Canis lupus familiaris: one gene and its partner. The protein of the gene in region 2 purifies or fractionates together with the protein of the main gene of each other region. This does not show direct contact. Links are inferred from orthologs where the notes say so. Each region holds a gene or a part of one and is shown on either strand. Other genes may lie near its edges.

The links.
Region 1: the proteins of SMARCA5 (region 2) and BPTF purify together in Homo sapiens (affinity purification with mass spectrometry; 4 studies listed by BioGRID and IntAct, with this or other methods). This does not show direct contact. The link is inferred for Canis lupus familiaris from reciprocal best matches to the Homo sapiens genes SMARCA5 and BPTF.

Annotation. Positions count from the first base shown.
Region 1 is NC_049230.1:14,279,361-14,283,573, forward strand, and holds part of BPTF (nucleosome-remodeling factor subunit BPTF), read left to right. Parts: intron 1-35; coding exon 36-215; intron 216-1,297; coding exon 1,298-3,593; intron 3,594-4,213. UniProt on the Homo sapiens protein: Regulatory subunit of the ATP-dependent NURF-1 and NURF-5 ISWI chromatin remodeling complexes, which form ordered nucleosome arrays on chromatin and facilitate access to DNA during DNA-templated processes such as DNA replication, transcription, and repair.
Region 2 is NC_049236.1:43,054,033-43,058,245, forward strand, and holds part of SMARCA5 (SWI/SNF-related matrix-associated actin-dependent regulator of chromatin subfamily A member 5), read left to right. Parts: intron 1-420; coding exon 421-569; intron 570-765; coding exon 766-885; intron 886-1,713; coding exon 1,714-1,824; intron 1,825-2,150; coding exon 2,151-2,264; intron 2,265-2,665; coding exon 2,666-2,788; intron 2,789-3,544; coding exon 3,545-3,677; intron 3,678-4,213. UniProt on the Homo sapiens protein: ATPase that possesses intrinsic ATP-dependent nucleosome-remodeling activity.

The DNA.
Region 1 (4,213 bases), on a different chromosome or scaffold from region 2:
ATTATATATATATACACACACTCAATTCTTTTTAGCCAAAAATAATGTGGATGAAAATATGGATGAATCAGATAGACGAAAAAGTCCACGGAGTCCAAAAAAAATAAAAACAGAGCCTGATTCTGAGAAAGGCGAGGTAAAAGATTCAGATGCTGCAAAAGGGGCAGACCAAAGTGAAATGGACGTTTCCAAGATTACTGAGAAGAAGGACCAAGGTAAGGAGAGTCCGGTGTGGAGGGCAGCCTGGGGGTGATAAGATTGTAATGGATCTGGTTCGCACAGCAGGAGAGGTACTGCCTTATGTTTCTTTAATAGCAGCTTTATTGAATCACAGCTCATTTACTATATAACTAACCCATTTAGAATGTACAGTGGTTTTTAGTATTTCACAGAGCTGTTCAGCTGTCACCACAGTCCATTTTAGAACATTTTCACCACCCCAAAAATAAACTTCATACTCCTTAGTACCCAGTTTCTAATCCTCCCTAAATCCCCCCAGCCTACTAGTCTACTTACTGTCTCTATGGATTGGCCCTATTTTGGATATTCTGTATGAATGGAATCACGTAATACATGGTCTTTTGTGACTTGGTGTAATGTTTTCAGGATTCACCCATGTTATAGCATATGTCAGCATTTTATCATTCCTTTTTAGTTCTGAATAATAGTCCATTGTATGGACGTGCCACATTTTGTTTATCCATTCATCAATTGATGGACTTTTGGGTTGTTTCTACTTTTTGGCTATTATGAATACTGATAAGGACATCCTTGTACAAGTTCTTATGTAGACATATGTTTTCATCCCTCTTGGGTAAAGACCTAGTAGTGGAATCCCAGGTCATGAGCTAATAACTCTGTGTCCAGCCTTCTGAGGAACTTATACTGTCTTTTGTGAAAAGTCATTCTTTAAAAACTAGGTAAGCTAGATAATGTATAAGCCTTAAGATATTTTATGACTATGAAATATCTTACATAAAATTTTCCATGAAGGTACTGGAGTATGGGGTAACTGTCACATGCTAAGTAATTTTTCTTTTAACATTCCAACTTCAGATACTAAGAATCAGAGTATTTAAATATTTACAAAATGTCTGTTTTTTAACCTTTTATAAAGTTTAGCCCTGTCCATTGACCTATCTTAATCATGTATCAGGAGCTTTCAAATATGTATATTTACACTGAAGCCCCGTGAGTGAAATGAAAATAAACATTGGTGGTTTTTAAAATAAAAATATTGTGAATTCCACATTTGAGACTAAAAGTTAGCACTTACATAAATGTGTTTGTTTCACAGATGTACAAGAAATTTTAGATTCTGACAATGAGAAACCCTTTAAGGAAGAACCAATGGAGATAGATGATGATGTGAAAACAGAGCCGCATATAAACTGTCAGGAAGGTTCTCAAGTAGATGTGGTCAATGTCAGTGAGGGCTTCCATCTAAGGACTAGTTATAAAAAGAAAATTAAATCATCCAAACTAGATGGACTTCTTGAAAGGAGAGTTAAACAGTTTACACTGGAAGAAAAACAGCGCCTTGAGAAAATGAAGTTGGAGGGTGGAATTAAGGGTATAGGGAAGACGTGTACAAGTTCTTTGAAAAGCCTTTCTGAATCATCAGTAATAACAAAAGCAAAAGAAGGGTGTCAAAGTGACTCGCTTAGACAAGAACAAAGCCCTAACACAAGTAATGGTAAAACTGAAGATGTGATTCGAGGATGTTCACAAAGCGATTCCTCAATTCTTAGAATCAATGATCCTGATCATACAACAAACAGACTTTATCCAAAAGAGCAAATGTTAGATGACATCTCCATTCAGAGCCCAGAGACAAACTGTCAGAAACAGAATTCTGTTGGAAATGACATAAATGAGAGTCTCTCTCAACCTACCAGTCAAGGCCAGGAACTTAATAAGGTTAAAACAAGAGGAAGTGACTTTCTCATTGATGACTCCAAACTAGCCAGTGCAGATGGAATTGGTACTTTGATCTATAAGAACAAAAAAACACTCATACAGGAGGATAATGACACCATTGTTTCTCCTTCCCAGAGCCCTTCACTTCCATCAGTACCTAAAAGTACTGATGATAGAGATCCCCCATCTCTGTCAAAAGCAGTAGACTTTGAAGGAAAACTAGGATGTATCTCTGAATATAACAGCACTTTGGAAAATAGTTCTGATACTATGTCTATTCAGGACAGCAGTGAAGAAGATATGATTGTTCAGAATAGCAATGAAAGTCTTTCTGAGCAATTTGTAACTCAAGAACAAGGTATTGAAGGCTTGGAACCATTGAAACGTGAGTTTGTTCCAGATAAGTCCACTAGCAACTATAAGAGACCACAGGGTAAGGTAACTGAAGCAAATGGTAGGAAGCCAAGTCAAGAACAGAAATTAGAGGAGAGATCAGTTAATAAATGTATTGATCAAATCAATCTAAAAAGTAGCACTGACAGAAAGAATAATGAAAATAGAGAGTCTGAAAAGAAAGGACAGAAAGCAAGTACTTATCAAATAAATGGAAAAGATAATAAACCCAAAACATATTTAAAAGGGGAATCCTTGAAAGAAATCTCTGCGAGTAAAGTAGCAAGTGGTGATCTTGAATCAAAGCTTAATAATATAAATAAAATAATTCCTGAAAATGATATTAAGTCATTGACTGTTAAAGAATCTGCTGTAAAGCCATTCATGAATGGCGATGTCATCATGGAAGATTTTAATGAAAAAAACAACTTGGAAACAAAATCACGTTTACTGAGATCTTCAGATGCTGCATGCGACTACCAAGATGGCCTAGACACCCTGCCATCAACCAAAGAGTCTGAGACCATGCCTCCACTGTCTTGTCCAGAAAACAGTTCAACAAATCAGGTAGAAGATATGGAAATTGAAACCTCAGAAGTTAAGAAAGTTACTCCCTCACCTATTACTTCTGGAGAGGAATCTAACCTCAGTAATGATTTCGTTGATGAAAATGGTCTGCCCACCAACAGAGATGAAAATATCAACGGAGAGTCTAAGAGAAAAACAGTTATCACAGAAGTCACCACCATGACATCCACGGTGGCCACAGAATCAAAAACTGTAATCAAAGTAGCAAAAGGGGATAAGCAGACTGTGGTCTCTTCCACAGAAAATTGTGCCAAGTCCACTGTCACAACCACCACTACAACAGTCACAAAGCTATCCACACCCTCCACAGGCAGCAGTGTGGACATCATCTCTGTGAAGGAGCAGAGCAAAACTGTGGTCACCACAACAGTGACAGATTCGCTGACCACTGCAGGGGGCACTCTAGTGACATCTATGACCGTGAGCAAAGAGTATTCCACAAGAGATAAAGTGAAACTCATGAAATTTTCAAGACCCAAGAAGACTCGTTCAGGTACAGCTCTGCCATCGTATAGAAAGTTTGTCACCAAGAGCAGCAAGAAGAGCATATTTGTTTTACCTAATGATGACTTAAAAAAGTTGGCCAGGAAAGGAGGAATCCGAGAAGTCCCTTATTTTAATTACAATGCAAAACCTGCCTTGGACATATGGCCTTATCCTTCTCCTAGACCAACCTTTGGTATCACTTGGAGGTATGTACTTTAAAATGTATTTGGGGAAGGGAGAAAGTCTTAAAAGCATTTTTGAGTAAGCATATCTCATTTTTTACAGAAAAAAAATGAGATAATAAGAGGGAAGCAGAAATTTAATAAGCCAGGTTAGTAATGGAAATAAGATAACAGAGAATCTTGAATTTGGCTGGCTGGGAGGTACTCAAGTTTACTTAGGGTAAAACTTTAGGGGAAAATGTTAAGAGACTTGAAAAGATCTAAATCTTTAAAATGAAATTGAGTTTTACTTTCCTCAAGACAGAAGAAACATGTCAAATATAGTTGGTTTTGTGGTTTAACTTTCTGAGTTATTGCCATGTGTTTGCCTTGGGAATGAGAATAAGAGACTTGGATAGTCCACTTTCTGGAATGTTTGTATTTTATTTCTATTAGGTAATTCATAGAAACATAAGACATAGGAAACATGCCTGTGAATCACACCGAGTTCATCATAATGTGGAAATCTTCCTAAAATAATTTATTTGCATGATAAACATTTGTTTTGGAGTTCTCTGTTATTTATGTGAGGAGAGGTCTCTGAGATTCCTTAGGGATTTTTTAAAACCCAGAAATAGTCTTAATTTAAAATTTTCTGGGCATTA
Region 2 (4,213 bases):
GCAGCCCCGGTGGTGCAGCGGTTTGGCGCCGCCTGCAGCCTGGGGTGTGATCCTGGAGACCCGGGATCGAGTCCCACGTCGGGCTTCCTGCATGGAGCCTGCTTCTCCCTCTGCCTGTGTCTCTGCCTCTCTCTCGTTCTCTCTGAATGAATGAATAAATAAAATCTTTTTTTTTAAAAAAAGAATACTTTTTATTGAGATATGGTATGCAGTAGGTTTCATTATGTAATGATGGATTAACAGGATATTTCAAAGTTTACAACTAAGAGTGGCATATTTTTATGTGAGAATCAGAATTATCGGCAGTGAATAAACATGATTAATATTTGAGGCAAAATACATGGTATTACATCTAACATTTAAAATTCCAAGTTTCAAAACAACCTTGATTAACATTATACAACATTTTTTTTTTTCCAGGAAGACTTGTGGATCAGAATCTGAACAAAATTGGGAAAGATGAAATGCTTCAAATGATTAGACATGGGGCAACACATGTATTTGCTTCAAAAGAAAGTGAGATTACTGATGAGGATATTGATGGTATCTTGGAAAGAGGTGCAAAGAAGGTGAGGTGTAGATTAAATGATTATGTTTTTAATATAAAATCTTTTAAATCAGAACTGTTTGAGGAAATACGTATGTGAGCCATAAAAAGGAGTTTTTGTGTACTGCAGAGCCTAACTTATTTTGACTACAGTTCTCAAGGTTTTTTTTTGTTTTGTTTTTAATTCTCAATATAATAAAGTGGTTTTTTACCCCTAGACTGCAGAGATGAATGAAAAGCTCTCCAAAATGGGTGAAAGCTCACTTAGAAACTTTACAATGGATACAGAGTCGAGTGTTTATAACTTTGAAGGAGAGGATTATAGAGAAAAACAAAAGGTAACTTGAGAAAGCTATTTTGGTTACTTGAAGGCCTTACTTTACTTAAAACTTGCGATTTTAAGTGTTAGCTGTAACACCTTGTAAATTTGTCTCCAAGCAGTCATTTTTATATATTCACATCTAAATTATTTTCATTTTTACATGTAATATCAAATTTTCAGTTAGTAATCTCTGAAATGTTTTAAAAGCTTATGTAATGAGGCTTACTATATACACTGTTAGAGTTGAAATATATTGTAGGGGTGATTATAATTTAGAATCTTTGAAAACAAATAATTGGCAGAATTAACATAACCTTACTAGATTTTTTTTAAAAGACATAATTGGCTGGTAGTGATTAAAGGGGAAAAACTTCGTAATTTCTTAAGTAATATTTGTTAATATATAGTGAAATTAGAAAATACAAGTTGGAAGAAAAATAGTTCTACTCAATGTTTTTTCTGTTAACATTTAAGCTTTGTATATCCTCTGGATTTGTTCTAGGCTAAATACATATCTATATTTTTCTCCTAGTTTGAGTTATAGCATTTTCTGTAGGTCTGGTCCTTCCTCCTCCTCACCAGATAAAATGTTCTCCATTTGGTCAAGAAATACTTAAGTATATCTTTGCTATTCACCATGTACTGTGCAGTGTATTAATTACATAGTTTTGAGCAAAGTATAGTCCCTTATCCTTGAAGAGCCAATGGTCCAGGATTTTATGAATATCTTGCCACTTACAAATAACAGTTGTAATGATGTATACACAGTATGAATTGCATTCATCTAAGATTTGTGACTGTAAACAGTCAAAGTTGGTGATTTGCATTGTTTCCTGTATGCTAGATTGCATTCACAGAGTGGATTGAACCACCTAAACGAGAAAGAAAAGCCAACTATGCTGTCGATGCCTATTTTAGGGAAGCTCTTCGTGTCAGCGAACCTAAAGCACCCAAGGTGAGTTGATGGAGCAATAAAATATCCAAAAATACTAGAATTGTAAATATTTTTCTTATATTCTTAATATTAAAGTTAGATTGAGAATTAAAATCTTCTGTGGCTTCTTACAGTGTATTTCCATCAGTTTTCATTAAAAAGTTTTCTTAAAAATTAGTTGTAAGTATATGCATTTAAAGTTTGATTAATGTTCACTATTAATGATAAATTCAGTTGCTTGGAGAATTAGCCATCATAAGTTTTGAGAGAGGAAGTTACAATTAAAATCAAAGCAAAACTTTTTTTTTTATGGGTAATACTGTGTTTTGTTTTTTTTTTTTCTCTAGGCTCCTCGGCCTCCAAAACAACCTAATGTTCAGGATTTCCAGTTCTTTCCTCCACGTTTATTTGAATTATTGGAAAAAGAAATTCTGTATTACAGAAAAACAATTGGGTACAAGGTAATGGAAATAACATTTTGTTCATAACTAACCTGGTTTTGTTCTTAATTTAGTAAATGGAGGGTATATCAAGTTTTTTTTTTTTTTTTTCACGGTTGGATTAAAACTTGTAAAACGTTATTTGGTTGGTTAAGAATTTAGGGCAGCCCCGGTGGCGCAGCGGTTTGGCTCCGCCTGCAGCCCAGGGTGTGATCCTGGAGACCCGGGATCGAGTCCCACATCGGGCTCCTTGCATGGAGCCTGCTTCTCCCTCTGCCTGTGTCTCTGCCTCTCTCTCTCTCTCTCTCTGTGTCTCTCATGAATAAATAAATAAAATTAAAATCTTAAAAAAAAAAAAAAAAGAATTCATCACATACTTTCTAAAATCTACTGATGGATGATATAAACAAATATTTTTTTAGGTGCCTCGAAATCCTGACCTACCAAATGCAGCACAGGCACAAAAAGAAGAACAGCTTAAAATTGATGAAGCTGAACCCCTTAATGATGAAGAGTTAGAGGAAAAAGAGAAACTTCTAACACAGGTATATATAGTCTTTATTCAACATAAAATTTAGTGTAACCATTACTTTGTAAGGGTACTATGCTTAGGTATGTTGGGGTACACAGAGAAGTACATGTTTTGTCTTTCAAAAAGTAAGTAATTGAAGATGATAAAGCATGAGCCATATGGGTGTATGCTACAGTTTGATTGTCACTAGTTGTTGAAGTAGAGAAAGAGTATAGATTTGCGCAAGCCTTACAGTGGATATGTTTTTTATTACGTTTCTTCCAGTATTCATTTTCTTTTCCTGTGAATCTTCCACATTGGTACTAAGTTACTGTTCTCAATTACAAGTCTCTTTTTGGTACTTTTTTGTTTAACAACCTTTAGGGTTTAATCAGGATCTTTTAGAATCTGGCCTTAACGTACTTTTGAAGCTTTATTTTTCTTCCACTTTCCTAATTGTTATTTCTTTGCTCTTTAGTGTATGTTTATTGCTCTTTGCAAACTCCTGCTTATCCTTCAAAATACCGCAAAATCACTTTCTCACAAAATCTCTTTTTCACAAAGCATTCCTCTCTTCCACTCAGATTTAATTGCTTGGTTATGTAAACAATATGTGATATATTGCTAAAAATACAGATCTATGTGTATGAAAAATTACCACTTTAAAATAACTTAAAATCTAGGAGTAATTGAAAATTTTCTAATACTTCAGACATACTCGTAAGTGAAATAGCATTTTACCCATGTTCACTCTGCTGTTATTATATGTTTTGTTTCCATTGCTTTGAAGGGATTTACCAATTGGAATAAGAGAGATTTTAACCAGTTTATCAAAGCTAATGAGAAGTGGGGTCGTGATGATATTGAAAATATAGCAAGAGAAGTAGAAGGGAAAACTCCAGAAGAAGTTATTGAATACTCAGGTAATTTTTAAATCATTTTAATAGATTAAAAAATATTCTCAGGTTTTTGGAGTGCTATTTGGGGAGTTCAGGTTTTATTATTCTGAGTTATGTTTTGATAAGCTAAATTTTGCCACAAGTTTTAGGGCTGTATTTTTTTTGTGTTTTTAAAAAACTGAGTTGGAAAGAAAATGTCCTCTTTTTTAAAATGGCATAGTTTTTTTTTTTTTTTTTTTTTTTCACCCCAGCTAACTGGCTATTGCCAAGAAAATAAGAATAGGTCATTGAATAATTATGCTTTCATTTTATTTTTCTCCACAACTTCTTAAGCACTATGTGCCATTGTTTCCTGAAATCACTTGAATTGTCAAGTGAAGAGGTGTAGTGTGCTGCAGTGAGTGTGCTTAGAATTCAAGAATAATAGAAATTTAAGAGTTGAGAGATACTTTTTTTTTTTTTAAAGACTTATTTATTTATTTATTTATGATAGAGAGAGAGAGAGAGAGGCAGAGACACAGGAGGAATGAGAAGCAGGCTCCATGCCAGGAGCCCGACGC